7 linked regions of the Callithrix jacchus genome follow. The protein of the gene in region 1 purifies or fractionates together with the protein of each later gene. This does not show direct contact. Links are inferred from orthologs where the notes say so. Each region holds a gene or a part of one and is shown in the gene's direction. Other genes may lie near its edges.

What was found.
Region 2: the proteins of DDX21 (region 1) and RPL19 purify together in Homo sapiens (affinity purification with mass spectrometry; 3 studies listed by BioGRID and IntAct, with this or other methods). This does not show direct contact. The link is inferred for Callithrix jacchus from reciprocal best matches to the Homo sapiens genes DDX21 and RPL19.
Region 3: the proteins of DDX21 (region 1) and DKC1 purify together in Homo sapiens (co-immunoprecipitation; 3 studies listed by BioGRID and IntAct, with this or other methods). This does not show direct contact. The link is inferred for Callithrix jacchus from reciprocal best matches to the Homo sapiens genes DDX21 and DKC1.
Region 4: the proteins of DDX21 (region 1) and CDK9 purify together in Homo sapiens (affinity purification with mass spectrometry; 3 studies listed by BioGRID and IntAct, with this or other methods). This does not show direct contact. The link is inferred for Callithrix jacchus from reciprocal best matches to the Homo sapiens genes DDX21 and CDK9.
Region 5: the proteins of DDX21 (region 1) and RRP1B purify together in Homo sapiens (affinity purification with mass spectrometry; 3 studies listed by BioGRID and IntAct, with this or other methods). This does not show direct contact. The link is inferred for Callithrix jacchus from reciprocal best matches to the Homo sapiens genes DDX21 and RRP1B.
Region 6: the proteins of DDX21 (region 1) and C1QBP purify together in Homo sapiens (co-immunoprecipitation; 3 studies listed by BioGRID and IntAct, with this or other methods). This does not show direct contact. The link is inferred for Callithrix jacchus from reciprocal best matches to the Homo sapiens genes DDX21 and C1QBP.
Region 7: the proteins of DDX21 (region 1) and YBX1 purify together in Homo sapiens (co-immunoprecipitation; 4 studies listed by BioGRID and IntAct, with this or other methods). This does not show direct contact. The link is inferred for Callithrix jacchus from reciprocal best matches to the Homo sapiens genes DDX21 and YBX1.

Annotation. Positions count from the first base shown.
Region 1 is NC_133513.1:61,121,672-61,125,772, reverse strand, and holds the start of DDX21 (nucleolar RNA helicase 2), read left to right. Parts: upstream 1-1,214; 5' UTR 1,215-1,312; coding exon 1,313-1,399; intron 1,400-4,101. Other genes in the region: uncharacterized protein LOC100388015, read right to left, coding at 764-901.
Region 2 is NC_133506.1:119,687,393-119,691,452, forward strand, and holds the start of RPL19 (large ribosomal subunit protein eL19), read left to right. Parts: upstream 1-1,127; 5' UTR 1,128-1,189; coding exon 1,190-1,194; exon of another isoform or gene 1,195-1,587; intron 1,588-2,045; coding exon 2,046-2,152; intron 2,153-3,105; coding exon 3,106-3,228; intron 3,229-3,772; coding exon 3,773-3,893; intron 3,894-4,060.
Region 3 is NC_133524.1:150,505,962-150,510,394, forward strand, and holds the start of DKC1 (H/ACA ribonucleoprotein complex subunit DKC1), read left to right. Parts: upstream 1-1,574; 5' UTR 1,575-1,705; coding exon 1,706-1,721; intron 1,722-3,713; coding exon 3,714-3,781; intron 3,782-4,250; coding exon 4,251-4,337; intron 4,338-4,433.
Region 4 is NC_133502.1:176,410,557-176,414,945, forward strand, and holds the start of CDK9 (cyclin-dependent kinase 9), read left to right. Parts: upstream 1-1,578; 5' UTR 1,579-1,682; coding exon 1,683-1,774; intron 1,775-2,231; coding exon 2,232-2,313; intron 2,314-3,018; coding exon 3,019-3,109; intron 3,110-3,457; coding exon 3,458-3,624; intron 3,625-3,724; coding exon 3,725-3,896; intron 3,897-4,052; coding exon 4,053-4,201; intron 4,202-4,389. Other genes in the region: SH2D3C (SH2 domain-containing protein 3C), read right to left, coding at 586-838. UniProt on the Homo sapiens protein: Protein kinase involved in the regulation of transcription.
Region 5 is NC_133522.1:49,330,133-49,334,483, forward strand, and holds the start of RRP1B (ribosomal RNA processing protein 1 homolog B), read left to right. Parts: upstream 1-1,517; 5' UTR 1,518-1,614; coding exon 1,615-1,744; intron 1,745-2,103; exon of another isoform or gene 2,104-2,108; coding exon of another isoform or gene 2,109-2,227; exon of another isoform or gene 2,228-2,277; intron 2,278-2,334; exon of another isoform or gene 2,335-2,725; intron 2,726-3,854; coding exon of another isoform or gene 3,855-3,898; exon of another isoform or gene 3,899-3,980; intron 3,981-4,351. UniProt on the Homo sapiens protein: Positively regulates DNA damage-induced apoptosis by acting as a transcriptional coactivator of proapoptotic target genes of the transcriptional activator E2F1.
Region 6 is NC_133506.1:106,968,047-106,972,470, reverse strand, and holds the start of C1QBP (complement component 1 Q subcomponent-binding protein, mitochondrial), read left to right. Parts: upstream 1-1,504; 5' UTR 1,505-1,597; coding exon 1,598-1,838; intron 1,839-2,392; coding exon 2,393-2,543; intron 2,544-4,424.
Region 7 is NC_133508.1:79,327,232-79,331,498, forward strand, and holds the start of YBX1 (Y-box-binding protein 1), read left to right. Parts: upstream 1-1,439; 5' UTR 1,440-1,578; coding exon 1,579-1,744; intron 1,745-2,420; coding exon 2,421-2,484; intron 2,485-4,267. UniProt on the Homo sapiens protein: DNA- and RNA-binding protein involved in various processes, such as translational repression, RNA stabilization, mRNA splicing, DNA repair and transcription regulation.

The DNA of each region.
Region 1 (4,101 bases):
TTTGAGTCTGGGAGGTCAAGGCTGCAATGAGCTGTAATCATGCCATTGCACTCCACTCGAGCCTGGAGAACAAAGGGAGAACCTGTCTCAGAAAAATAGACTCGGCACAGTGGCTCATGCCTATAATTCCAGCACTTTGGAAGGCCGAGGTGGGTGGGTGGATCACCTGAAGTCAGGAGTTCAAGACCAGCCTGGCCAACATGGTGAAACCCAGTTCTCTAGTAATAATACAAAAACTAGTCAGGCGTTGTACTAATAATACAAATATTAGCCAGGCGTTGTAGCACACGCCTGTAATCTCAGCTACTTGGGAGAATCGCCAGAGGCAGAGGTTGCAGTGAGCTGAGATAGCGCCAGTTCACTGTAGCCTGGGTGACAGAGCAAGACTCTGCCTCAAAACAAAACAAAACAAAACAAAACAAAAAACCTGAGCAAATAAAGGCAGATTTTCAATGTCAGATATGATTCTATGATTCTAACCCATTTTTGAAATTTGTTTTTTTGCGCATATATATTTGAGACATAGGGGTTTTGATTGAAGGCTGGTTTTTAAGGAGGCTGAGGCAGGAGACTCCCTTGAATCCAGGGGACGGAGGTTGCAGTGAGCCCAGGTCGTGCCACTGCACTCCAGCCTGGGTGACAGGGCAAGTCTGTCTCAAAAAAACCCCCACAAAACTTCTCTCTCTCTCTCTCTCGCTAGTCTATAAAGTTTCCTGGGGATAAGGCTTTTCTGTTTGCTAGTGAATCCTGCCGTCTCTCCTACCTGATACGGTGAACGCTGGCAAGATGTTTGAGTGCACGCATGAATGAACGACCAGATCCGACTTAATTCTTTTTTTTCTTCAGAGTCTGCCTGCAGTTTCAGGGTCAATGTTTCCAAAAGATGACTAAGAACACACATCTGGCGTCTGTACGTGCAAACTCGAGCGATAAAGTACTGAAGATGCGCCACTCAAAAACAACTAGAAGCCTTCATTTATCAGACTGGCGCTAGGGAAAATCTGGCCAACGTTGGGGAATACAAAGCTAACCCTTTTGGTTCCTTGTGGTTCTACCGTTCCTTGGTCTAAAAGGAACCACCATCTAGACCAAGGGCCACAAGTGGTCAATTCACTAAATCCAGCCACAGTCAGAGGCCGCTGCTTTCAATTTTCCACGCAGAGAGCACCCTTCCCTTTGCTTCTTGCTTCCGCCGGAAGTGCCTTGTTAAGGGAAGTGACGAGAGCTGGGTGGGCGCCGGGGACGGAACTATCTCTTCCTCTCTCTCCACGCGGTTAAGAAGACCGGTCGGCCTGGGCAATCTGTGCTGAAGATGCCCGGAAAACTCCGTAGTGACGCTGCTTTGGAGTCAGTCACCGCAGTGAAAAAAGTGGAGACACTGCGAAAGCAAACGGAGAAGGTGAAACGGAGGGACCTGGGGCAAGGAGGGACGTTGAGTGGAGCGGAGCCCTGGGGTACAGGAGAAGTGCCTGCGCTGGAATTGTGGGAGCGCGTGGAGGGGAATAGCGAGTCTAGAGACTGGGCGTGGGTCTTAGCGGATGGTCGCCCAGGAGTGGTCCGCTCCTCGGGCAGTGGGCGCGTCGTCGGCCTGACTGAGCCAGGTTCGCCGCGCGCTGACCTCTTCTTCTGAGCTTTTAGGCATCCACATGTCCTAGGAACTCTGGTAGAGAGGCCCTATCCGAGCTCGAGAGAAGGCCGGTGTCCCACGTGGTCCCTGGCTACTGGGCGCGCCTCACACAGTGCGCAGAGTTTGACATTCAGTCAGGCTCCACGTTATTGACTAAGATTTAACTGCCGGCGTGAGCGTGAGCGAAAGGAATTACAAGTCAAGTCATAGTTGGAACTGGAGCTTTATAGCAAACTGGAGACATCATAACCTCATCTGTGCACGTGGGCGGCGTCTTTGTTGCCCCGGTTTTTTTGGGAAGGGGAGATGGAGGCTGAAGTGCGGTGTCGCGATCTCGGCTCACTGCCACCTCTGCCTCCCGGGTTCAAGCAATTCTGCTTCAGCCTCCGGAGTAGTTGGGATTACAGGCGCGAGCCATCACGCCCGGCTAATTTTTGTATTTTTAGTAGAGACGGGGTTTCTCCATTTGGTCAGGCTGGTCTCCAACTCCTGACCTTGTGATCCACCCGGCTCGGCCTCCCAAAGTGCCGGAATTACAGGCTTGAGCCACCGTGCCCGGCCTTTAGTGAGTTTTTAACTTTGGGAAGGGAAGTACAGTTTGTTTTCCGGTAAGCCGCCCTGAGAAGATGATTAGTTCAGTTCTTAATATTATATTGACTAGATTTCCCATGGAAATGTAAAGGCATATGTTGCAGTGCTAAGTGTACATTATTTTTTTATATAGGCCAGCAGTGTGCAGTAGTCTTAACCTTGACAGCCATTTGCTGCTTTGCTGTTGGCTTTCTAGTGATTTAACTTGTGACCGAGTCTCTGTTCTGAGATAAAGTCAATGAGAACAGATTGTCCTTGAACTATTGTACACTACTTAGAATTAACTTTCCTTGTTGGTTTCTCTGTCTTTTGATGTGGAGCTCTTACAACAGCAATATTTTAGAATTGTAGGAAGCTGCAGCAGATTTGTACTCGGGTGCAAGAAGGTAGTGGTTTACGCTGCATCAGTCATTGTGTTCAATTTGGCATACTCAAATCCAGAGGTACATGACCAAACTCTGTTACATTCCAAAAGAGACCACCAGCATGGGAAAACTCAGTCTTATTTGGTGAAACCAAGGGATGAAAAAGAATGAAATTTTGGAAGGAGACTAGCTTGTTTTTCATTGGCAAGGAGATTATTCTTAATCTTTGATTGGAGAACAGACCAGGCCTGACGTTTCCGGGAAGCAGATTTCAGTGTAATATGTACTTCCAAGATTGTTCTGGAGCTCTGCCAGAACAGGCTTCTAAGGAGGCTGCAACACCTGTCTAATTGTTTTCAGTAGTTTGAAAAGGTGTAGAGACTCAGAAAGTTCAAATAGGAGCCATAGTCATCTATCTTACTTGGTTCCGAGATGTCACTCCTTCCATATTCTTGTAACTTATTTATTTTATTTTAAATTAAGTACATCTTTTTTACACAGGGGTGATAGACTGTGAGTTTTTATAGCTTTTTGGTTCATAAAGTATCTCTTATTTTTTGTAGAGACAGAGTTCCACTCTGTCGCCCAAGCTAGAGTGCAGTGGCATGATTATGGGTAACTGCAGCCTTGAATTCCTGGGCTCAAGCAATTCTCCCAACCCAGCCTCCAAAGTAGCTAGTAGTGTAGGTGTGTGCCACTATGCCTGGCTAATTTTTAAATTTTTTATAGAGACTGGGTCTCTATATTGCCCATTCTTGTCTGGGACTTCTGGCCTCAAGCAATCCTCCTGCCATGGCCTCCCAAAGTGCTGTGATTACAGGCATGAACCACTGCACCTGGCCCTAAACTGCCTTTATATAAATTCATTTGCTCTTGTGAGATAGGCAAAGTGCAGAATTCCTGTTTTGGAGTTAGAGACTGCGGTGAGCTATGATCACACCTCTACCACAGCCTGTGAAAAAGTGAACTTGGCCAGGTGCGGTGGCTCACGCCTATAATCCCAGCACTTTGGGAGGCCGAGACGGGTGGATCACGAGGTCAAGAGATCGAGACCATCCTGCTCAACAAGGTGAAACCCTGTCTCTATTAAAAATACAAAAATTAGCTGGGCATGGTGGTGTGCGCCTGTAGTCCCAGCTACTCGGGAGGCTGAGGCAGGAGAATTGCTTGAACCCAGAAGGCGGAGGTTGCGGTGAGCCGAGATCGTGCCATTGCACTCCAGTCTGGGTAACAACAGTGAAACTCCATCTCAAAAAAAAAAAAAAAAAAAAGAAAAAGTGAACTTGTCTCTTAAAAACGAAAAAATCCCTGTTGTTTTACCTGGGATTTTAGCAGGAAGAAAGAAAAGAAACCTGTTTAACACATCATCAATCTGTAGACATACATGACCTTATTCTATTGGGATTGAATTTGGACTTTCTGTATTGAGTTTGGAGCCTGTTGGAGTATACCATGAATTTATCCAAATCCCTTATGAAAAGCTGGGTGCAGTGGCTCACGCCTGTAATCCCTGCACTT
Region 2 (4,060 bases), on another chromosome or scaffold:
CCAGAATGCTCTGATTGGATTTTTGCGTTGAGTGCTCCAGATCAGAAGAAAAGAACTGAGTGGTCCTGACTTTTTTTTGGGGCGGGGGGGACAGAGTCTCACTCTGTCCCACAGGCTGGAGTGCAGTTGCGCCATCTCGGCTCACTGCAACTTCCGCCTCCCACGTTCAAGTGATTCTCCCACCTCAGCCTCCCAAGTAGCTGGGATTACAGGCGCCCGCCGCCACGCCCGTCTAATTTTTGTATTTTTAGTAGAGACGGGGTTTCACCTTGTTGGCCAGGCTGGTCTCGAACTCCTGATTTCAAGTGATCCGCCCACCTTGGCCTCCCAAAATGCTGGGATTACAGGCATGAGCCACCGAGCCCAGCCCTTTTTTTCTTTTTTTTTTTCTGCAATCATTCGTCCATGCAACCAATGCAGTATTTCTCAGGTGTGTTCGATCGAAGATCCATGTCTGCCACAGTACAGTTGTGAGCCAAATGAGACTGGTTCCCACCCTCCAAGAGTCGGCTATCTTAATGCCTTCCTTTGCTAACTGCAAACGTTACCTCAAGTAATTTTCACAACTGGATGACAGAAATATTGGGATTAGGTCCACTTTACAGAGGAGGAAATTGAGGCACCAAGAGATTAAAGACCCGCAGTGGCGTAAAAACTAACATCTTTCAGTGATCTATTCTGCACTCCAGGGGCTTTCAATCTACTACGAGAGTGAATGAGAGATCGCCTTTGTCTGATATCTGCTGTCATTATTCTCTCTCGCTTCTTAACTGATTTTTTTCCCGCCAATAAAACACGCATCCGCAACCCCCTGAACGCCCACAAACACCAGGCCTCTAGCAAAATCTCTCTCACTCCGCCTGCGCAATCCAACTCACTTCCGGTTACAAATAATCACGTGATCGGGTGCCTTTGCTGCGCATGTCTAGTAGGAAGTAGGACTATACCACTTTCCCTACGGAAGGGGTACACTTTCTATGTTTTTAAGTTTAAATCCGATTTCCTATATTAGACGTTTATCATTCCAGGTCTTTGTGGAGGCTATGAGTGAGTTTGGGGTGGCGGAAGATGAAAGAACCGGACAGGAATACAGACGAAATTGGAGCGGGGTTTGGGCTCTCCCCTTTGCAGATAATGGGAGGAGCCAGGCCCAAGCGAGCTCCTTCCTTTCGCTGCTGCTGCCGCAGCCATGAGGTAAGGGCCCGTGGGTCTCCCGCCGACGATGACGCGTTCCGGCAGGGGATGGTCGGGCTTGGGACCGCAGCCGGGGTTAGGGGAGATGAGATTGGAGGCCGCCCTAAAGCGGCTGGTCTCGGAGTTTGGGGTAGGCCGGCGCACATTCGTCCCAGGCCTCCGGAGTGGGGGGAGCGGGGAGCGTCGCAGCCGCTGAGACCCGGAAAGGCTGCCCCGGCAGGCGCCACGCCGCACACGTGTCGGGTCGACCCACGCGGGCAGAACAAAGGCAGCGAACTGGACCGAGCCGTGGACCCTTTTTTGCTGGGCACAACCAGAGCCAAGCAGATGTCTGCTTTCACGTGACGTAGGGCAAGCCTGGCGTAGGCACCAGGCCTTCGACTGCTGAGTGAGGTGATGGACGCTTTCCATTCCTTTGGCCACTCATAAAGGAAATCTCTATGAATGGCTCAACGTGGCTTGTTACTGTGATAAAACGAGGAAATGAGCCCAGAAAGCAGAGTAACTTGCCTGCGTTTCTAGACTAGAAATCAAGTCTACTCACCTCGAATATTCTTCAAATGCTGAGTACCAGAAATATCGTAAGCCCCCTGTTCATTCCAATAAATCCCTGGCCTGACTTTCCAGAGGAGAGAAATGCAAACATGAGGCTCAGGGAGGTAAAGGCATAGCTTGGGTTTCAAAGTCTAAACCCAGGAGGGCCAGCTGCACAGCCCAGAGCCTTAAAGATGATTTAGGGGAGAGTCTGAGTTCGAAGCTGTGGTGTGGGTGGCAAAGGGTGGGTCTTGGGGAACGTTCATTCTTGCCCAGGATTGGCTTTCAGGGTCTAGTAATGTTTTCTGTGCGTCCAGTATGCTCAGGCTTCAGAAGAGGCTCGCCTCTAGTGTCCTCCGCTGTGGCAAGAAGAAGGTCTGGTTGGATCCGAATGAGACCAATGAAATCGCCAATGCTAACTCGCGTGAGTACCTGGGATTTGCCTCTTCACCCTATCTCCTTCCCTTGTCCTGCATCAGATAAATGATAACACAATTTTGTTGCCCTTTTTTTTTTTTTTTTTTTTTGAGATAGTCTCCCTCTTTGCTCAGGCTGGAGTTAAGTGGTGCCATCTTACCATTGCAACCCCCACCCCACTCCCAGGCTCAAATGATTTCTCTTGCCTCAGCCTTCTACGAGTAGCTGGGATTACAGGTGTGCACCACGACGCCTAGCTAATTTACTCTTTATTTATTTATTTTTGAGACAGAGTCTCAATCTGTCACCCGGCCTGGAGTGCACTGGTAAGATCTCAGCTCACTGCAGCCGGGTCCAAGCATTCACACCCAGGTTTAAGCGATTCTCCTGCCTCACCCACCATGTAGCTGGGACTAAGGCGCATGACACCACACCTGACTAGTTTTTGTATCTTTAGTAGAGATCGGGTTTCACCATGTTGGCCAGGCTGGTCTCAAAGTGCTGACCTCAGGTGGTAATGCCCGCCTCAGCCTCCCAAAGTGCTGGGATTACAGGCGTGAGCCACCACACAACCTAGCCTGTGTTGACTTTACAAACCTAGGAAAGCTCATTATTCAGGGGATGTATGAAATGGAGGAGTCATTGTATCAGGCTCTTTCTTTTGAGTGTGCTGTAATATACTTAAAAAGTAGAAAAGGCCAGGCATGGTGGCAGGCATCTGTAATCTTAGCTACTTGGGAAGCTAAGGCAGGAGGATCGTGAGCTCAGGAATTCAAGATGGGCCTGGGCAACATAGGGAGACTGAAAGACACAGTATCTCTCACAACTTCTGTTTGTGAAGGAAAAAGAAAAGATAGAGATTTTGTTTGGTTTTCGGAGGCAAGAAATAAACAAGTTGCAGTATTTCTATCCTTTTTGAGACCATGGAGCCAAGAATGTGAGCAGTGCCTCTCCTTTCAGGTCAGCAGATCCGGAAGCTGATCAAAGATGGGCTGATCATCCGAAAGCCTGTGACGGTCCATTCCCGGGCTCGCTGCCGGAAAAACACCTTGGCCCGCCGGAAGGGCAGGCACATGGGCATAGGTAAGAAATCATGGGTGCTGGTGTCTACACTGAAATATATTCAAGATCTTTGCACTCTGTCTCATCTTGAGTTCATTTCCTACTCCTTGATATTTGATGTGTTTTCTGCCTGTGTGCAAATCAGAAAGTTGGTGCTGGTGTTGGAATTGAGAGTATTGCTGGTAGGAGGTCACATTCACTAAGTCCCTACCTATACTATGCCAAGGATTCTGCTGGGTCCTTGAGAATGTTGTCTGTGTAAATCTAAAATTACTTTCTAGTGTCAGAATGATTGAGGGAAGCTCCTTACAACGGGCTATGCTGTTTTGGTGCACTGCCTGTTAAACCCACATTCTGTATGAAGTGAATGGGGAATTACTGCCATGTCTGTGCTTCCTTTAAAATTGAGTAAATGACGGAGCTGAGTAGTTGGGATCATCATTGGAAAATGGAATTAATGCTAATTAAAATGAGGTGGTGAGGATTAAATGAGTTAAGGACCCTGAAACTATATTCATTTCTGTATTACAGACAGTGGCCCATTCCTAACTCATCTTCTCCACAGGTAAGCGTAAGGGTACAGCCAATGCCCGAATGCCAGAGAAGGTCACGTGGATGAGGAGAATGAGGATTCTGCGCCGGCTGCTCAGAAGATACCGGGAATCTAAGAAAATTGATCGCCACATGTAAGCCGCCCTCTCGGGCCCAGTACCCATTTGCTGCTTTGATGGCTTGTTCTTTCACGGACACTGTCTTACTGGCCCTTGGTAGGGAGCTTTTTTGTTGGTTTTTTTGTTTTGGAGTCAGTCTGTCTCTTTCTTTCTCCCAGGCTGGAATATAATGGTACAATCTT
Region 3 (4,433 bases), on another chromosome or scaffold:
TAGGTTATGCCATCTCCAGAAAATGGCCCACTGAGTATTGTGCTTCTTTTTTAGCAAGCAGAGGGTTCCAGGTAAGGCAACCTGTCTTTCTCTTTGGAGGGACCATCTCAACATGTCTCAGCCCACTGGATGCCCAGAAAGTTCACTGAGGTGTCACCTCCCTGAATTTTCAAGGGGCTTATCTCTCACCTTGTGGTGAGACATTTGCCACTTCCTATGCATCAACATGATGTCTGGGGGTACAGTGAGATGATCAAATCAGTTCCCAGGGACTCAATTATGATAATGTGCAGAGGCTTCCTTTGATCTTTCCTTCATTTATCACCCTCAGTCCTTGAGTCAGGAAGCCCCTGTGGGAATTTTTCCAGCCACCAATTGTGTTTATTCTAAGTATGGATTCAAGAAGTGGGGAGAGAGCCACAGGGTGGCTGAGAGTGAAAGGGACATGGGCTGACTCCACTTCTGACAGTGGCATTCTACTTCCCCAGGGATTAACACGAGCTTGTGCAAGTCTCTGGTAAATGTCCATGGGTCCCAGGGTAAAGTAGGAGGCAGGCTTAAACTACACACATGTGCCTGGCCTCACTTTTACAGGCTTACCTCACAGGCTCTGGCCTGTGGACTGTCTAGATCTGGGAATTAGATGAGGCACCATGATTTTCCATTGTGGTGATTCAAGACAGGATGCCTTTAGCCAGATCTAGCGTTACAGGGGTTATACAGATCATGATGGCTTACTATAGGACACCACGATCAATTAGACAGCACCAAAGATCCCTGGGGAGAAATCAGTTTGGTTCCAGCTTCCAGCCTTGCTGCCTATCATGATACCCAGGCTCATCCTGTTTCTATGAGATTTAGTGCCAGTGCTTTGTCTCTGCTGTTTGGCGTGAAGCCTGGTCGTAGAGTTCCAATTGAGGTGTGCTGTGACAGTAAACACACACACACCGGAAAGACCTTGTGGGGACCAAAAAAAAAAAAAAAAAAAGCAAAATATCCCATTCATGCAGTTGTGTTTTGCCTATATGCGGAAATGATAATATTTCGGATACGCTGGGTTAAAAAAATTCATTATTAAAATCAATTTCACCCTTTTCTTTTCACTCTTCTTCCATGTAGCTGCTAGAAAAAGTCAACATGTGGCTCATGCTCTGCTCCTAGTGGCCATCCGCTCTAGCTGGATGGGAACTGCAAGCAGCAAAAGGCTTTCAATCTCTCCGAGCCTCAACATGTTCACTTTTGAATCAGGACTAATCCGACACCAAGCTGAGAGAGTCAGTGTCAGAAAGCAAAGAGCTACCGACTACGCAGCGCTCAGCCGTGAGCCCAGGCGCAGGCGCGGAGGTAAACCCGGAGGTAAACCAACGACAGCTGGGGACACGCCCACAGACTCCGGGCTGCCGGGGAGGGCGGCACTAGCGCTTCCAGCCGGGGCTAATCGGGCTGGTAGAGGCTCGAGGCGCAGGCGCGGTGGCGCGACCCTGGCTGAGCCAGCCAATCGCATTGCGCGGAAGATCCGCGCGCCCGAGCGCCTCGGGTCGCCCCGGGAAAGGCCCCGCCCCCTCCCGCTCCGCGGCGAGGCACGCACAGGGTTGTGCGCGGAGGGGCAGGCCTAGCAGCGCGGCCTCACTGGACTGTGGCGGCGGGAGTCTGCGGTAGTTCTGCGGGCCGTGGACCAGGCGGTACGCACGCGGTGCAGGGTAACATGGCGGATGCGGAAGGTAAGGGCTGCAGGCGTCCGGACTATGCTAACTCCAGGCGACTCGGGGAGCCGGGAATGGGGGATGGTATACGGGCCCGCGCCCACCTCCCTCTGATTCCCGCCGGCGCGTCGGCCTCTTAGCCGACCGGCCTTGTCGCTCGGCCCTGGCTCGATGGCGACGGCGGGAGTGGGAGTCCCTCGCGGTGACTTGGTATGGCGGGGCTCGGGCCTCTCACCGATGACAAGCCTCCCTGGGGTCCGGGTTTTCGTCGTAAGACATCTGTCGTGCTGCCCACCCCGTGGTGGCGGGGGACGTGGCAGCGTTTGTGCTGCTGCTAGCCCGGACGCCGCCAGTATAGCTCCATGCGACGATGGGAGCAAGGGTGGTGGAAACGGGCCGAGAAGAAAAGGAGCCGGGGGACCCGTGAGCAGACATAGCTCCGAGTTGCAAGAAACTTCTAGAGGCCACAAGCTGGCGGGGAGAGTCGAGTGGTCGCTTATGGAACTGTCGGGTCCCCTGCGTGAGCGCTTCTGTGGGATGTTTAAGCCCTGCCATAGCCACGTGGTGAACCGGAAGGCAGTTACCCAGCCATGCGACCCATATATTTGGCCTTACACACTTTGTTTTCTCGCTGACCTACGGATATACTTTCTGAGAAATGGGTCGTTAGGCAATTTCATCGTTGTGGGAACGTCGGAGTGCTCTTACACAAACCGAGATGGCATAGGCCACTACACACCTGGCTGTATATGGTGAGCCTATTGCTCTAGGCTCCAAACCTGCACGGCATGGTACTGTGGGGAATGTTATAGGCAGTTGGAGCACAGTGTCGAGACGATGTGTATTTAAACATGTCTAAGCGGAAAAAGGACAGTAAAAATATAGTACAGGGCTGGGCATGGTGGCTCATGCCTGTAATCCCAGTACTTTGGGAGCCCTAGGCAGGCCGATCACCTGAGGTCAGGAGTTCGACACCAGCCTGGCCAGCATTGTGAAACCCTGTCTCTACTAAAAATACAAACGTTAGTTGGGCATGGTGGCGTATGCCTGTAATCCCTGCTACTTGGGGAGGCTGAGGCAGGAGAGTCGTTGGAACCTGGGAGACAGGTTACAGTGAGCCAAGATTGTACCACTGCACTCCAGCCTGGGCAACAAGAGTGAAACTGCATCTCAAATGTGTATGCATATATAGTACACAAGGTTAAAAGTGGTGCACCCGTAGAGGAGAGCACTTGCCATAAATGGAGCTTGCTGGGCTGGAAGTTGCTTTGGTTGAGTCAGTGACTGAATGTGAAGGCCTCAGACATTACACTACTGGAGACTTTATAAAGTCTGTACACTTAGGCTACACTAAATTTATAAAAATATATTTTTCTTTTTTTTTATTGCATTTTAGGTTTTGGGGTACATGTGAAGAACATGCAAGATTGTTGCATAGGTACACACGTGGTAGTGTGATTTGCTTCCTTCCTCCCCTTCACCTATATCTGGCATTTCTCCCCATGCTATCTCTCCCCAACTCCCCACCCCCCGCTGTCCCTCCTCTATAAAAATATATTTTTCTTCAGAATAAATCAGCCTTAGCTTACTGTAACTTTATAAACTATTTCCTTCAACCCTTGTAATAACACCTAGCTTAAACACATTATTCAGTTGTACATAATTATTTTCTCTGTTTATATCCTTATTTATAACTCTTCTACTTTTTTTTTGTTTTTACATTTTTTTTTTTTGTTAAATAAGACACAAACACACACAGTAGCCTTGACGTACACAGGTCAGGATCATTAAGACATCACTAGGAGACAGGAATTTTTCAGCTCTGTTATAATCTTATGGAGGCCACCGTCACATTTGCAGTCTGTCCTTGAACAAAACATTATGTGGCATGTGACTGTAATTGTAGACCTAAGATCCATTTCCTACCCCTAATTTTGGTTTTTATTTTAAACTCATGCTCATTTATTCTTGGGGAAAATTCTCAAATCCTGTGTTTGTTTTTTTTTTTAGTGATTATTTTACCAAAGAAACATAAGAAGAAAAAGGAGCGGAAGTCATTGCCAGAAGAAGATGTAGCCGTGAGTAGTAATGTGTTTGACTTCACTTTGACTAAAAAGAAGGTTTACTTAAATAACAAACTAAAGGAAAGAAGTGTTTTAAAGGTTTCCAAGAATGGGCCAGGATTGGTGGTCATTGTGTAGATTTGAAAAAGTACTGATATGACAGCCCCAGACAGTCCAAGTCTCCTTCAGGCATAGCTTACTAAATGGTGCTGGGCTTCCCAACTGCTGTCTCTGAATTTCTCTTCCTTATCCCACCCACAGACCCACTATCCCCCTTTCTCTTTAAATTTTTGGACCCATCTTAGTGGCATTTCACTTCCCCTCTGTACTCCTGGTTCATTTCTTCTCTTTCCCCTGGAGGTCCCACTGAAAAGGCATAGAAAGCCTTACTTTCTATTTAAAAGGCACACATTTCCGTGGTAGCAATGGAATTATTCAAAATCGGGTGGGAAGTCTAATAGGTTATATTTCTCTTCTGTGGAAGGAAATACAACACGTTGAAGAATTTCTTATCAAACCTGAATCCAAAGTTGCTAAGTTGGACACGTCTCAGTGGCCCCTTTTGCTAAAGGTATGTGGTTAAGATCAGGCATCAGGTGAATGTCTGCTTTTATGTTATTTCCAAGTGTTAAACAACTGATAGTGTTTAAAGCAGGGTTCCTTAAGG
Region 4 (4,389 bases), on another chromosome or scaffold:
ACAGAGGCCAGACAGGGGACCAGGTCTCAAGATCCACCAGCAGAGGGCTGGAGAGGAGGGGGCAAACTGCAGCCGGGCAGAGGCAGAAAAGACGGCTTTGCTGGAGGCTGGTCCTTGGGCAGAGCTGGAGGGGGAATCTGGAGACCACTGGAACCAGGAGGATGGGGGCGGAGGGAGAAGGGATGGGCGCAATGGGGAAGGGAGAAGAGGAGGGTGAATGGTGAGCTTGCACCCTCATATAAGGACAGCAGGTCTCCCGACTGCTCTCCTACTGGCCCAACCGCAAATGGCGTGAATCAAGAGAGTCCCCTTCACACTCAGACACCCAGGTCCGGGTCCCAGCTTTGCCGCCGTGTGACCTTGGGCAAACGACCTCACCACTCTGAGCCTCAATGTCCTCTTCGGCAAAATGGGTTAGTGATCCTGACTATGGGGCAATTGATCCCGGATTCGGCGGGAACGCCCAGCACTCTGAGCACACGAGAGAGCTGAGAAAAATGGCAGCTGTTTTTTGCGATTATTGACCCAGGGCCAGACCAGCTCTGGCGCTCCTCGGCGGAAGCGGGAATCCTGCGGGTCCCATACCTGCCCCCCGAAGAGCCGCGCTCCAGCAATAGAGGGCCCGGGCGTTGCTTGCTCGCCGTCTCCAGTGCCGCCGCGCCCCCTGGCGGCCGTCGGTTGCCATGTCAACGGCGGGTGGCGGGGACCGGGGGAGGCGGCGGCGGGGGCAGTTCTTTCCTCCCAGGGCCGGAGGACGCTCCCTCCGCGCCTCCCGCCTTCGCCTCTCGGGGGGGCACTCCGAGCCGAGGAGGAAGGGGCTCTCCACGGCAGCGGGCATGTGGGGGTAAACTGAGGCACGCGGCGGGGCGCCCGCAGCCAGGTGCCGAGCGCGGGGCCCCACCTCCGAAGGCGGAGGAGGGGCCGCGGGCGGTGACGCGCCTAGGGCGGCCGGCGGACAGCGAGCGGGCGGGCGGGCGGTGGCGGCGGCGGCAGGTGCGGCCGCGGAGGGTGGGAGGGAGGAGGGAGGGGGCGGGCGGAGGAGGAGGGGAGGGCGAGGCAGGGCACCTCCCCCTTTATAACGCGCCCCCTCCCGGGCTCTCGGGCCACCTCCTAGTCGGCTCTTCCCGTTTCGCCCCCTCGCCCGGCTGCCCCGGGCCCGCGCTCGGGCCCGGCCAGGGAGCCCCCAGGCCGCGGCTCGGGGGTCGCCCCCCCGTCCGCCGCCCCGCGCAGCCCGGCGGAGGCGGCGCCGTCGGAGGAGGAGGAGCAGGGCACTGCGGCTGGCCCCGGATCTGGCGCCAGAGCGGCAGCAGCTTCGGCAGCAGCGGCGGCCCGGGCCAATGCAGCGGGACGCGCCGCCCCGAGCCCCAGCCCCGGCGCCCCGGCTCCCCGCGCCCCCGATCGGGGCCGCCGCCAGTAGTGGCGGCGGCGGAGGCGGGGGCAGCGGCGGCGGCGGAGGCGCCTCTGCAGCTCCGGCTCCCCCTGGCCTCCCGGGAACTACAAGTCCCAGGGGGCCTGGCGGCGGGCGGCGGGCGGAAGAGGCGGGGTCGGCGCCGCGGGGCCGGAAGTGGCCGTGGAGGCGGAAGTGGCGCGGCCGCGGAGGGGCCTGGAGCGCGGCGGCGGGACCCGGAGCGGGAGCGGCAGCAGCGGCGGCTGGGGGCGGCGGCGGCGCGCTGGAGGCGGCCATGGCAAAGCAGTACGACTCAGTTGAGTGCCCCTTTTGTGATGAAGTTACCAAATACGAGAAGCTTGCCAAGATCGGCCAAGGCACCTTCGGGTAAGGCTGTGCCCCTCGGGGATGGGAGTACTGGGCTTGCACCCCGTCTGGACGCCGGGGACCCGGTTGGAGGTGGTAGAGAAACCGCCTGTCTCTGGGCTTGTCCACAAGTCTCTAGGCCGTGCCGCACCCCGCCCGGGCCTGACGGAGCCGGCTGGTGGGGAGGAGCCTGAGGCCCTTGGTGGGGGGCGGGGAGGGGCTGCAGAGAAGTGACCGTCAGGGGAGTGGGATCTCTCCAAGAGACGCCCAAGTGAGGAGAAGGGACTGAGGGGAGAAAGCAGAGGCTCTGAACGAGACCGGGTGTCGGGTACCGCGTGGGGTAGCCGCGTGTTCTGGGTACCCGGTCCAGCGCCGCCCGGGAGTCTTTTGCTGCTGCCCCTCCTCCTGTAGTGGGGGAGGGGCGGGCCCTGCGGAAACGGCCTGATGAGCTCTCTCGGGTCTCCCTTTCCGCCTGCAGGGAGGTGTTTAAGGCCAAGCACCGCAAGACCGGCCAGAAGGTGGCTCTGAAGAAGGTGCTGATGGAAAATGAGAAGGAGGGGGTGAGTACGGATCGGGCGTGCGGTCTAACTACCCGGGACCCCGGGTTGGCTTTCCACCCTGCTGCTTCAACGAGTCTCAGGTTGAGATTCATTTTGTTTGTAGCAGTTTAGAAATTTCCAAGGAATTTGGCCTCCACCCTAAAACCTAAATGCTTCATTGTTAGGCAGTTATAGTTGAGGCCGGGAGGGGGAGTTAATGTTTGCATCGTGTGCACACGAAGTTAGGAAGCCTTTAAACACCTCTTTCTTAGTGTTATATTTTGCTTAATGTAAAAGAGATATATGTGCATGGTTTTTGGAAGGTGACTAATAATTATTTAACGTATTTAAAAGGAGCAGTCCCTCCACTGCGTCTTAGCTCTAGTATAGTTTCCCATAAACCTTCATTTTCCTGCTCTAGCAAGGACGTTTTTAAGTCATCATGTTTGTTGCCAACAAAACACCCGTAGAGCTCAAGTTACAGGCTGAAACCGCGGAGCATTTAGTGGCTAGTAGCAAAGTCCTGCTGTTTCAGTTTGTAGTCTGAAACCATCTTTTTGAGGTGTGTGTGCCCCTGCTATACCTATTTTACAGATAAGGCTTTTGAGACAGCTGGTTTCAGAGCACGTGTTCTTGCTTTGTCTCCCAGCTTGTCTCTGAGTATAGAACCCAGAGCTGGGCTCTGTACTGTGCTTTCTCCTGACCACTTCCCCCTCTCCCACCCAGTTCCCCATTACAGCCTTGCGGGAGATCAAGATCCTTCAGCTTCTAAAACACGAGAATGTGGTCAACTTGATTGAGATTTGTCGAACCAAAGGTAAGTTGTTTGGCTCTTGTGAGAAGATGACGCTTATAGCCTAAGGTTTTGTTTGCAGAGTTGGAACTGGACACACCTAAACTGCCTCTTCTTAACCCAGATGGACCCATGGTGACTGCTTTCTCTGGTCCTCTGTCATCATAGCTGATGCTTCCCCGGGGCCTGCCACAGCACCTGGCCCAGAGGAGGCACTCAGAAAATATTTGGCCAGTGAAGGAAGGAACAGACGGATGCTCTGGAGGGCATGGGTGTCTGTGGGTCGGGGCAGGAAGAAAGAAGCTGATTGTGGGAAAGTGAGTTGGGTGTGCTTTTCTTGACTTTTTCTTCCTTCTGCTATTCCTGCCTCAGCTTCCCCCTATAACCGCTGCAAGGGCAGTATATACCTGGTGTTTGACTTCTGTGAGCATGACCTTGCTGGGCTGTTGAGCAATGTTTTGGTCAAGTTCACACTGTCTGAGATCAAGAGGGTGATGCAGATGCTGCTTAACGGCCTCTACTACATCCACAGGAACAAGGTGGGGGCCAGAGCTGGGAGGAGGACCCGGGCTGGGGCTGGCCTTGGTTCCCACTCCTGCGTGGATGTGAGTGAAGAAGCCACTCTTGCCCTTCCTGCAGATCCTGCACAGGGACATGAAGGCTGCTAATGTGCTTATCACTCGTGATGGGGTCCTGAAGCTGGCAGACTTTGGGCTGGCCCGGGCCTTCAGCCTGGCCAAGAATAGCCAGCCCAACCGCTACACCAACCGTGTGGTGACACTCTGGTACCGGCCCCCGGAGCTGTTGCTCGGTGAGGACTCCCGAGCGGGCCGAGGGGGGTGAGGGCCAGGCATCCACCTGGCCCCCACCCCCAATGCCAGGGCTTCTTGAGCTGCCGGCCCTGGGGCATCGAGCCTCAGGAGGCCCTCGGGCTCAAGGGGCCCTCCTGGTGCGCTCTTCTTCCCAGGGGAGCGGGACTACGGCCCCCCCATTGACCTGTGGGGTGCTGGGTGCATCATGGCAGAGATGTGGACCCGCAGCCCCATCATGCAGGGCAACACGGAGCAGCACCAGCTCGCCCTCATCAGTCAGCTCTGTGGCTCCATCACTCCTGAGGTACGGGGTCCACGGGGTACAGAGATCCAGGTCCCCCGGCAGAGGGGGAGTGGGGAGTGGAATGGAAGGAGCACTCCTATCTGGAGGGGAGGCTGGTTTGGGGACAGGGCCTGCCCTTGAGAGCCACACAGGCTGTGTGCCAGTCTCGGTTCCCTCACCTTTTCTGTGGCCTTGGCAGAGCATCTGAG
Region 5 (4,351 bases), on another chromosome or scaffold:
CGCCATTGCACTCCAGCCTGGGTAACAAGAGCGAAACTCCGTCTCAAAAAAAAAAAAAAAAAAAGAAAAAAAATCGGAGGGGTCCTTTCTGCTTGGCGGGGAGTGCTGCCCTAAGGGGGACTGCGTTGAAACGGGCAATCTTGGCTGGAAACTCGCCTCCGCGGCCCGCCTTCCCTCGCTGGGATTCAGGCGCTTTCATATTAAGGGTTGAATTTGGCCACAGGCATCTCGGGAGGTCGCCCAGATAACTGAATGGGGTTAACGTACATAACCCCCCACACACTACGTTTGGAGTCATCTAGGCCATTAACGCCTGCCGAGTCCGCAAGCTATAGGATGGCCTCGGGTTATACATGAACCCAAAGCTGATTTCTTCCCTCCCAAGCAGCCCGCCCTGCCCAGCTCCCCCGGGAAGCGCGCGTGCTCTCCAGGCCTCGGGACGCCGGCGCGGGCGCCCCTGCACTGGCACCAGGGCTCCGGGGTAGGGGCGTGCCGAGCTGCCCGAGGCTCCGCTGGCGCTGGCGAAAGGAACGCTCTCCACCCGCTCAGCAGGCCCCAGTGCCGGCCTTTCCTTCCACTCTCGACTCCACCCGGGGGGACCCGGAGGCTCCACAATTAAAAACTTCGTAGGAGAGCTGCCGGCCCAACGGGGTGTGCTAAAGGGGACTAAAGATCCTGGACCGGGCCGGGCGCGGTGGCTCACGCCTGTAATCCCAGCACTTTGGGAGGCCGAGGCGGGTGGATCACGAGCTCAAGAGAGCGAGACCATCCTGGTCAACATGGTGAAACCCCGTCTCTACCAAAAATACAAAAAATTAGCTGGGCATGCCTGTAATCCCAGCTGCTCAGGAGGCTGAGGCAGGAGAATTGCCTGAACCCAGGAGGCGGAGGTTGCGGTGAGCCGAGATCGCGCCATTGCACTCCAGCCTGGGTAACAAGAGCCAAACTCCGTCTCAAAAAGAAAAAAAAAAGATCCTGGACCGTGGCCAGGCGCGGTGGCTGCAGCCTGTACTCCCAGCGCTCAGAGAGGCCGAGGCGGGAGGATCGCTTGAGGCTAGGAGTTTGAGAGCAGCCTGGGCAACACAACGAGACCCCGTCTCTATAAAAGATGATAATAATTAGCGGGGCGTGATGGCGCGCGCCTGTAGTCTCAGCTACTCCGGCGGTCGACGTGGGAGGATCGCTTGAGTCTGGGAGGTCGAGGCTGCAGTGAGCCGAGATCGCGCCACTGCACTCCAGCATGGGCGACATAGCAAGACCTTGTGTCAAACAAATAAAAATTCCTAGACCGTTTGCCAACATCCGTCCGTCTCCTCCCGGCCAAGTCCTAACCCTGGCTAACTTCGCCGTCTACAGCCTCAATTCTGGCAATCGAAAGGCAGCGACGGAGCCAAGCACACGCGGGACAGACCGCCACGACGGCCGCCAGGGCCAGGGCCGCGCTCACTCCCAGAACGCACCACGAGCGCCGGCGCCTTTGTGACGCCATCAGCCCGCGCGTCACCGCCGCCTACTGCGCAGTCGCGGCTCGTGCGGACGGCGACGGCTCAGCGGTGCACGGTTGGCGGCAGCGGCACTGTGGGTTGCGCGGCCGGGGATGCCCCAGCGGGCGCGATGGCCCCCGCCATGCAGCCGGCCGAGATCCAGTTTGCCCAGCGGCTGGCGTCCAGCGAGAAGGGCATCCGGGACCGGGCGGTGAAGAAGCTGCGCCAGTACATCAGCGTGAAGACGCAGAGGGAGACAGGTGGGCGCACGGCGGCGGTCAGCCGCGCCACATGGCGGGCCCGGGGCAGGGGCGGCGGCGCGGAACGCGGCTTCCATGCGTTGTCGTGACACCGAGAGTGTCCTCCGGTTTCCGCGCTGCCAGAACTGCTTCTTGCTGTCTAGTGCCTTTTTACAGTTGAGGAAACAGGTTGAGGGGGTTCTGTTACTTGCGAAAGTCACGGTGAGCGGGGAAGCTGAGAAAAGACCCACATGGGGCGGATTCCCTGACCCGCATCTCGCATCACTGGGCTGCCCTGATGCAGCTCAACGGCAGTGCTGTGTGATCTGGCCACTGCCTACATCTCCAGCTTCATCTCATAACACTCTCCCCCTCCCCAGCTTACCGGCATCTGGCATCACTGCGCTGCCCTGCTGTCCCGCCGGTGATTCCCGCCTTTCTTTGACCAGCACCTTTACGTGCGGGGGCTGCAGGCGAGAAGACAAAATCCCTTCTCTGGAGGATCTGTTGGTGATAAAGCAAGGAGACAATCAGGCAAATAAAGTAGACCTCGTGTAAGTGTAGTGAAGGGAATGAAAGCCAGGTAGTACGCCGGGCATGGCGGATCATACCTGTAATCCCAGCACTTTGGGAGGCCAAGGCGGGCGGATCACCTGAGGTCAGGGGTTCGAGACCAGCTTGGCCAACTTGGTGAAACCCTGTCTCTACCAAAAATACAAAAATTAGCCAGGCGCAGTGGCGCGGGCCTGTAGCCCCAGCTTCTCGGGAGGCTGGGGAGGTAGACTTGCTTAAACCCGAGAGGGCAAGGTTGCAGTGAGCCGAGATTGCACCATTGCTCTGCAGCCTGGACGATAGAGCAAGAATTTGTCTTCTAAAAACAAAAAGAAGAAGAAGAGAGAAGAAAGAAAGAAAAACAGGTAATAGAAAAAAAAGTGAAGGAGGTTGCTCTTCGTGAGAGGCTGTTCTGAGAAGGCCTCACTGGGTGATGTTCAGCTGGGATCTGAAGAGAGATGGGCGGAAACCACCTATGCCGTGACAGGAAGGAGTGAATGCCCTCCCCTAGGAGTGGTTGAAAGACCAGTAAGCTGGGGAGGGGGAAAGTGTTATGAGATGAAGCTGGAGATGTAGGCAGTGGCCAGATCACACAGCACTGCTGTTGAAGGATTTCACTTACCTGATCCAAAAATATTTTTTGTAAACTCTTGAGTGAGCCCATATGATATGAACCACAATGTGTGATAGAGGTTTTACGCTGCAGCAAGATTAAGTGTGATTTAGCTGCTGCTGGTATTAATACATTAGAATCTGCTTAGAAGAGCAGATAGTATCTCCCCACCACTGATATTCTCAGTTTGTTTTATTTTGAAGAGAAATCACCCGAGTACCCCAAAAAAGAAAATACGCTTTCCTGGGAACTCTGGTGGAAAAGGAAAGAAAACCAGAATTCCTGACTGATTCCATTAGGGTCTCCCTACGAGATTTTGTTTGCTGGCACAGTTCGGGGTACCCCATGTATGCTGGTGGTTTCTAAAGCTAAGTTGTTGACCCAGCCCTTTCCTGCTTGCAGCTCCAGTGAGCCTTGCTAGCCTGACGTCTCTACCTTGCACCTCACACTCAGAATGCCAAAAAACGGCCCGTTTTCTTCCCCCCAAAGCCTCTTTGCTGCTGCTCCTCTGCCACCTGTTTTCTCTTCTTTTAGCTGCTAGTTTCTACCAGCCACTCAGACTCCAGCCAGACACACAGGATTGTCCTGGACTCCTCTGTCTTCCTCATCCTCTTGCCCTGACCCACATCCAGTGCCCCTCAGCCCTACCTCCTTCACCTCCTGTTGAAATACATTCTCCGACCTTAGGCCCTTTGCATCTCCCCGGACTTCTGCACCTACATGTTCCCTAACTGGTTGCCTTAACTTCATTTGTGTCCCCCCCCCCCCCGAATCTCCTCCACAGACCAGCCCAGGGTCATCTTCCTAAAACAAATCTGATCCCACATCACCAATATTTTTGAAATCCAGTATCTGCAAGTCATGATCTGTCCTCAGGTGCTTTTCCTCCTAAGCCCCATGTGACTGCTTCGTGTTCCGTCAGCAGAAGCGTTCGTGGTTCCTGGCGTACAACACACAATTTCTCACCTCTCTGGCGTTGCTTCTCCTGTTCGCTCTGCAAAGGATCCCATGTCTTCCTCACCTTCAGTTCGGCATCACTTCCTCCAAAGAGCCTTCCTCGCCCTACTCCTCCAGGGCTCTAAAACATCTACTGTGTCTTTGTTGTAGTGCTTAGCTACATTGCTTCTTACTTATCTGTTAATGTGTCATTCTTCTCCAGAGACACTGTAAGTTTCCATCTGTTTTCTTAGCCAGAAGTGGGAGTACATGTAGCCATAAAACGTCCTGACCTGTGCAAGAGCAGAAGACCGAAAGCAATACGTATGGGGCTAAGACAGCCTAGGCAGAGAGCCTTTTGCTCAAACCCTTTGGTGAGCCAGCCCAGGACTTGCAAATGCTGGGGTTATGCAGGGGCCGAAGACCAGTTACACCAGTGCCCCAGAGTCCTGTCTGCTTAGTGCCTGTCACACCCAGGGTTACTCGTACATCTTGTCCACCACCACATTGCATGGAGGACAGTGGGC
Region 6 (4,424 bases), on another chromosome or scaffold:
TGTACTGTGATATATAAATCCTAAATCCAGCTACCAGGAACTGCCTGGAACTGTGGCCATGCATTTTTTTTTTTTTTTTAAAGACCAGTGTGATAATAGGCCATGCATCTAAGATAGCATTCCTTGGTAACTAGAGGGAGGAGGAAAAAAATCAAGTAGGTTCAGGCTTTTGTTTGTGTAGAAATAACTACAGAAAGCTCTTGTACATAATGCTCAAGTTTGCACCCGATGATCAAATCCATTAAAAACTAATCTTACATGATGTGTGTGGCTCGTTTTCTGAATCTCCTTTCCGTTATTCATTGAAAATTGTTTAGAAAATAGCTTTTCTTTTCTTATAAAGGTGTCCTGTGACTCAGGAGTGTTCAGAAGATATTAAGTGTTAGTCTTATCATGAGTTAGTAAGCCATACCTTCTTGGTAGCTTATATGTCCTGTGTATCCTGAGAAGGTGGGATTCTTGGTTCTTAATCTAAATCTGAACCCCCTCTTTGGGTTATATGAATTTACTTGAGCCTCTCACAGAACTCAGGGAAACACATTTACTGGTTTAATGTAAAGGATATGACCGAGGATGCGGATAAGGAGATGAGCTCCCCTCCCAGGGCTACAGCCCTCCAGGAACCTCCAAGTGTTTAGCTCTCAGAGGCTCTCCAAACCCTGTCCTCTTGGGTTTTTATGGAAGCTTCCAAACTTCAGCATCTCTTTCCCCAAGGTATAGGGTGGGACCTTCTCTGGGGAGGGACTTAAGACCCACAATCAGAAATGTGGGGGGAGATGAGAGTCCCGCTATGGGGCCTGTGAAAGGGGAGGAGGAGGGGAGAGAGATTCTATTCTCTGAGGCCTAACACACCCAACATTATCACAGAACACTGTAACAAGGGCTGTGAGAGTTAAGAGCCAGGAACTGTGGATGAAAACCTATACACACACACACACACACACACAGTGGATGAAAACCTATACACACACACACACACACACTGGATGAAAACCTATACACACACCGTGACACCACAGCCTCCCAGGAACTGTGGATGAAAACCTACACACACACACACACACTGGATGAAAACCTATACACACACCGTGACACCACAGCCTCCCAGGAACTATGGATGAAAACCTACACACACACACACACACACACACTGTAACACCACAGCCAGGAACTGTGGATGAAAACCTGTACACACACACACAGAAACACCACAGCCTCCTAGAGGAAAGTGACCGTGTAAGGGTCTGGTAAGAGCTGAGGGGAGACAAGAGTGCATTCCACGCAGCCCAAAAACGGTGTGGCTTGAGACCAGTAGATGGAAAATGTCTAAGCAGCCACCGAAGGGAATTAAACAGCTTCGGACAGCGGCCTCAGGCTAACGCAGCAAGAAAGCTCGCGGAAAAAATTCGAGGCTTCCCGGGCTATACCGGAGGTCTCCAGCAGAGGGCGCGATTCCTCCCACTGGCCTTAGGTCTTCAGAGCGCCGGCGCGGGAAGCGCTTCCTGACGGGGCGGGGCTTCCGGCAGCGGGCTAGGTCGCGGGGAGCCTAGAGTTGGGTAGTCCTTTGCGTCTGCACGTGTTCCTAGTCCTCTCCGCGATGCTGCCTCTGCTACGCTGCGTGCCCCGTGTACTGGGCTCCTCCGTTGCCGGCCTCCGCGCCGCGGCTCCCGCCTCGCCTGCTTCGCCATTCCGGCAGCTCCTGCAGCCGGCGCCCCAGCTCTGCGCCCGGCCCTTCGGGCTGCTCAGCGTGCGCGCAGGTTCCGAGCAGCGGCCGGGCCTCCTGCGGCCTCGCGGGCCCTGCGCCTGCGGCTGTGGCTGCGGCGCGCTGCACACCGAAGGTGAGGTTCATGCTCGTGGGCCAGGGCTGTTGTTGGGGTTTGCGGTCTACGAAAGAAAAACGTAGACCAGGAGTGGCGCCTGCAACCGACCTCCGAGATCTGGGACATTATTCCATTGATTGGCAACCAGCGGGTTAAACCCACGTGTGATCATATTTCCCCACCTCGCCTTTCCACAAGTTTCATTTTCTGTTGGAACGGGGTAGATAAATACTAGAGGGTACCTCTATCCTTAGCTTTAGTCTCTCAAAAGTGGACCTTTGGGAAAGCCCAAGGTCGTGATTGAAAATAGCATAGTTAAATCGTTTGGCAGTGGAAGAGGATGCCTGGAAGTTCTTCTGCTTTACAACAGAAGGTGGCAATGCGTTCGCTGTTGGACGTCCTTAGCTTCGCAATACTATTGTGTTATTTTTACAGATAAGGAAACTGAGGCTTCCAGAGTAAGCATAATAGCAGAGATTAGAAACAGGCCAGATTTCTGGCTACAATAACTTGGGTAATAATTTTATGTTTTAGACTAACTGGCTTCCCTTTTAATGTATCTGGATTTCTAGGAGACAAAGCTTTTGTTGATTTCCTGAGTGATGAAATTAAGGAGGAAAGAAAAATCCAGAAGCATAAAACCCTCCCTAAGATGTCTGGAGGTTGGGAGCTGGAACTGAATGGGACAGAAGCTAAATTAGTGCAGAAAGTTGCTGGGGAAACGTAAGTACTGGTCTGGGGATTCCAGGGCACCAACTCCATTACCCTGCAAGACCCGTCGTGGATCATCCCCAGAAGAGCCTTGAGTTCAGGTGTGGATTCTTTGATAAATGGTTTTCAAGCGAGTGAAGGATTCATTTGGACAAATTTATAAGTTCCAGATAGTTGATTCACTGAACACAAATTTGCTGTGGGCTGATTACTAAGGAGACAAAAATGAACACAAAAAAGTACTGGCAGAATCAGATTGATCTCTGGTTTACAGCGCCAGTAAAGTAGGACCCTGGTCTCTTAATGTCCAGAGTGGGTGAAAATGCAACATGTAACTTCTGTGTAACAGAATGGGGTTACACTGTAGTCAGGGCTGCCATCAGAGGTTGGGAGTTTGTGACCTAAGGCAGCTCTCCCACCTTCTAAGCTAACTGTTGAAGTGTTTACAATTTTTTTGCATTATAGTCATCCATAATCTTATTACACAGATAAACACTTAGTATCTTCCAGGTTTTTAAAATTGAATTATTTTATAATAGACCTTATGATGTATATATAACTTTTTTTTTTTGAGAGGAGTTTGGTTCCTGTTGCCCAGGCTGGAGTGCAATGGCATGATCTCAGCTCAATGCACCCTCTGCCTCCCAGGTTCAAGCGATTCTCCTGCCTCAGCCTCCTGAGTTAGTTGGGATTACAGGCATGCGCCACCACACCCAGCTAGTTTTGTATTTTTAGTAGAGACAGGGTTTTGCCACGTTGGTCAGAATGGTCTTGATCTCCTGACCTCATGATCCGCCCACCTTGGCCTCCCAAAGTGCTGGGATTACAGGTGTGAGCCACCTCACCCAGCCTTTAATTATTTTTTTAAGTGACAGCTTTAATGAGATTTAATTTATATACCATAAAATTTACCCATTTATTGAAGCTTATTAAATTGTTTCTTAGTCCTCATAAAATTATGCATCAGATACCACTAACTAATTCTAGAACATTATTGTCATCTCCAAAGAATACCATTAGCAGTCACTCCTGATTCCTCCATCTAGCCACTGCAGGCAATCACTAATCTACTTTCTCTATAGATTGCCTCTTTTGGTCATTTCATATAAACAGAGTCCTACAATATGCAGCTTTCTCCCTACCCCATGGAGTCTTGCTCTGTCATACAGGCTGGAGTGCAGTGGCAGGATCTCGGCTCACTGCAACCTCTGCCTCCTGGGTTCAAGCAATTCTCCTGCCTCCGCCTCCTGAGTAGCTGGGATTATAGGCGCATGCCTGGCTAATTTCTGTGTTGTAGTGTTGGCCAGGCTGGTCTTGAACTCCTGACCTCATGATCTACCTGCCTAGGTCTCCCAGAGTGCTCCAATTACAGGTGTGAGCCACGCTGCCCAGCCTATTTACCTTTTTAATTGTTGGGTTTTAAGAGTTCTTTAGTTTATTCTGGGTATAATTCTCTTATCACATTAATGATTTGCATGTATTACTTCCCATTTTGTGGGTTTTCTTTTCATTCTTGGTAATGTCCTCTGACACAAAAGTTATTTATTTTGATGAAGTTCATTTTAACCTGTTTTTTTTTTTTTGGGTCACTTGCGCTTTTTTACTTTTTACTTTGCTTTTGATTCACCAAGTGCAACTTGTGCTTTTTTAGTGTCACATCCAAGAAACCACTGCCTAATCCAAGGTTGTGAAGATTGATGCCTTATTTTTTTCAAAGCGTTTTCTAGTTTTAGCTCTTAGTTTAGGTCTCCGATCCATTTTGAGTATGGTGTAAAGTAAGGTCCTGATTCGCTTTGCCTATTGCATAGCGTGTTTTTTCCCATACACAGGTCAGTTGTGTCATCATTTAAAAACCATTTGCACAAGCTTTTCACAGCTATTTGAGGGCCATTA
Region 7 (4,267 bases), on another chromosome or scaffold:
CTCCCTACTTATGACTCTAAAATTGCTCTTCTCACTCTTGCCCTTAGGATATATTTCCAATTAAATATACCTGTGACCCTGCCCACCTCTGCAACCCAATGCCACACTGGAGTCTTATTGAACTACTTGACTTGCATTTCCCGAGATCCCACCTCTTCTCGCCTGTACCCTGTGAGCGGAAAGTCAGCCCTCCACCTTCTCCCTGCTTCCACTCCCAAAATACTTCGTGCTTTTAATTTAATTTTATTTTTTTAAAGACGGGGTTTCACCATGTTGGTCAGGCTAGTTTTGAACTCCCGACCTCAGGTGATCCGCCCGCCTTGGCCTCCAAAGTGCTTGGATTACAGGCGTGAACCCACGCCCGGCCCAATATTTCGTGCTTTTGCAGCTCTCGAGTATTTCCAGTGCTAGCTGTTTAAATTCCTGCCGCCATCAGAAGGCAGAAACTGACTCGAGAACTATTCCATCCCCAGCCGATAGTAGACGCTTAAAAAAGAACGAAAGACGGTGGGTGGAGGACTTCAGTAACATCAGGTGGCAGCCTCAATTTTATCGTTTGTGAAACGTGGATAGTAATCCTTCTATCACATGGCTGTTGTCGGAATAAAATGGAAAAACCAAACAGGCTAGCTTGTTCAATAAATGTGAGTTGAATTAAATCTGATTTGTGGCCAGTAGAAAAAGACATGAACACTCGAAGACACTTCTTTTTAATACATGTGTATGCCTGGTAAAACGGATCAGAAGGCAGGTCCCCATGGAGCACACCCTCGCCTTAAACATGCTAAACGTGCTGAGCCCAGGCTGTCTGAGCCTGCGTGGTCCCTCCAAGGTGACTGCTCCGACAAAAGCGTAAGCTCCTCAAACGCATACGTTTAAGGCAATTCCAGAAACCATAGGCTGTGCCGCCACAACACGGCCATTAAAGAAAAGATGACTTTATGCCTGCAGTCATGTTCTCAGATCACAAGGACTGTATTTGGAGCAGAGAGGGAGGGAAGCCTTCTCTTTACGAAGGGCTAATGCGTAGTCGGGCCCCCCTCCAATCTCGGGTCCGGCCGGGTAATTCCTGCCCAGCATTCGGGCGTGCCTTTTCTTCAGCTGGGACACAACCCTGAACGTGGGGCTAGCCAGCCCGGCGGCTGCCTCGTGGAAATCACGTTCTCTCTGCCCGTCCTCTCGGGTACTCTATGGTTTTTGTGGCCGACTACTCTAATTCTAGTTCCGGTCTCTATGGCGGCCGGCGGAGGCAGGAACGGTTGTAGGTCGGCTGAATTAGCCGCCAAAGGGCCAATGAGAGTGGAGAACTGATAAAATATTATCCAGTAGAAGCCAGGAATTGGGGTCAGGTGGGCAGATTGACAGCAGCAGTGGCCAGTGAACAACGCCTAGGGCGGGTCGATCGTAGGGCTTATCCCGCCTGTCCCGCCATTCTCGCTAGTTCGATCGGTAGCGGGAGCGGAGAGCGGACCCCAGAGAGCCCTGAGCAGCCCCACCGCCGCCGCCGGCCTAGTTACCATCACATCCCGGGAGGAGCCGTAGCTGCCGTAGCCGGCCCCAGTCACCATCACCGCAACCATGAGCAGCGAGGCCGAGACCCAGCAGCCGCCCGCCGCCCCCCCCGCCGCCCCCGCCCTCAGCGCCGCCGACACCAAGCCCGGCACTACGGGCAGCGGCGCAGGGAGCGGTGGCCCGGGCGGCCTCACATCGGCGGCGCCTGCCGGCGGGGACAAGAAGGTCATCGGTGAGGGCCGGACGGGGACGGGTGTGGGGCCCTCGGGCAGCCTGGCAGCGGAACCGTTAGCCTGTGCAGGGCGAGCCGGCGGGCGCGCGGCCGGCGGGGACCGACTCCGCGGCGCGCGGCCGCCCCTCCCCCAGCACCCCCACTCATCCTCACGGGGGCCCGCCCGGCAGGCGCGCGCGCTCTGCCTCCTGCGCCCCCTGTGGACCCCGCGCGGACGCGCGCCCCTCCCCCTGCGGTCGCGCGCCCGCCAACCGCGTGTGCGACGGGGTCCCCTCCCCGCGACCGGCCTCGTGCGCTGTGGCCCGCACGCCGTTGTTCGCGTCTCCCCCACCCAGCTCCCTTCCGCGTGTGCTCAGAGGGCGCGGCGCACCGCCTACGCAGGCCGGAGTGGGCCGGGGCGGCTTCCCCTTCCCTCACGTGCTCTCCGCCCGCGGCCTGCGCACACACCCATTCTGGGCCCGCGCCCCGGGCCTGCCCTGGAGCGCCCCGCGGCTTCAGACTCACCCACGTGTGCGGCGGCGGCGGTGGTGGCGTGGCCCGGCACCCGGGAGGTGGAGAGAAAGGGCTGTCAGGTGGCCTAGCGGGCAGCGTCCTAGGGACCGGAGACCGAAGCCGGGCGGGTTTGGAAAAGGATAGGTGGTAATCGTGGCTTGTTTTGCTTTGTTTTCTTTTCCAGCAACGAAGGTTTTGGGAACAGTAAAATGGTTCAATGTAAGGAACGGATATGGTTTCATCAACAGGTGAGCTCCCGGACCCTGAAGCTTCCATCCCACTGTCTCGCTTGTTGCCTGCTCTGTCGGCTTCTTGGCGCTTGGGAAGCCCCGAAGGGCGTTTACTACCTCTGGTGTATTAGTGTGATTTTTTTTTTTTTTTTTTTTAATTCCTTGACGACTGGAGGGATTAGTGGATCTAGAGAAGGTCTTTGTTTTGCAGCTAAATGTTAATTTGAAGCCAACTTCAAAGGCTTTCTTACAGTACAAAGCAATTTAAAAGGCAAGCAAAGTGAATGAGCCATGCCTTAACAGGGTAAACGGGAAACTACGGTCCTGTACATTTTTATCCTTGTTATCCTTTTCTACTTGATTGAACTCGGTGTTTGAGAGAGTGATCCACTGACATCGGATATTTACACCTTGTTAACATTTTGGGGGTAAGATTTGACGTGCCAAGTATATGAGGTTTTGTCATCTTTACCGAGAGGTGTTGCCTTTTTCACCTTCATTGTAATACCTTAGATAAATTTTATATTAGCACCAGAGAGAAGCTGTTTTTATTTGCTCATAGAATAATGTATCTGCTAGAAAATGGTTCTTTGCTTTCTTCAGTTCTTATTTTTCATTCTTCCTTGTCCTAAAATCATACTGATTAAATCGATTTCTATTAGATTTCTGGCTATAGCTTAGAGTGGCCATAGTCCCTGGTAACTTGACATTGTTCTTGCTTGAAGGCAAAGCTGCAGGCTCCATCTTTAGGACTTACTTTCGGGTTGTTGCTGGTAATGTGCAGTACACTGGATTCCATGGGCTCCCTTGTGAGCCAGGCATCATTTTCAAGATGGCTGCCAAGGCTTAGTAGTGCAGTTTACATGAGTGTAGAGCCCTGGGTATGCCAATAGGAATCTTGGCCTTATAGGTATGGTACATAGTGCCATCTCAGCATTCTCTTACTGTAGAAGACCTAAGCAGATGATTAAAAGAACAATTAAGAATGTTTGTGGAGTGGACAACAAATGGACGAAATCAAGCTTAAGGACAGACAATCATAGCTTGATGAAAAACCGTTCGTTCATTAATCAATCATACATTATCGTGGAAACAGAGTAAGAGAGAAGCATTTGATGGTCTATTCTCTACTTTTGCAATTGTGGGAAAACGTTTTGTTTCTTCCAAAATCTTAGGATTTTCCAACCTTCTATACTGTTGCCACTGTTGTGGCTGTAACTATGTTTTTCATTAATTTTTTGATAATAGCTTATTAGCAAGGAAGGAGGGGAATGCTTATATATGATTGATATACTGATAGCTTTTTAACTGATCTTTCTGAACTTACTAGTGTTTTAGTTTGTGTTTCTGTCTTATTCTGAGTCTCCGAACTAGTCTAACCCTTCAACCAGTGTTTTTCAGATTTAAGTGTGCTTGCCTAGGTCTGGGTACATTTTTTAGCAAGAATAATGTGAGCCATACCTTCAAAATCACTGCTTTTAACCCTTGACCCAATGTAATGGTAACTTTGGTGTGCAGATTTGCAGCCTTTTCAGTGGGTAGATTGCAGTTTTGTATGTATGAAGTTTAGCGTGTGCCATGTTTCGCTACATTTTGTTGAGTGGCATAGGTTATCACATTTTTAAAAATCAAGTTTTATCCAAAATAAGAGTAATTCTTACAAGTATTTCATGAGGTGTCATTCATTGAATATCTCTGTTCTGAATTGGAATCAACTCAATTGGTCATCCTCCAGGGCAAATTGTGAATTGGCTTTTGATGGTCTTTTGTTTGGACTATCCTAACCTCAATTATTTTGTCA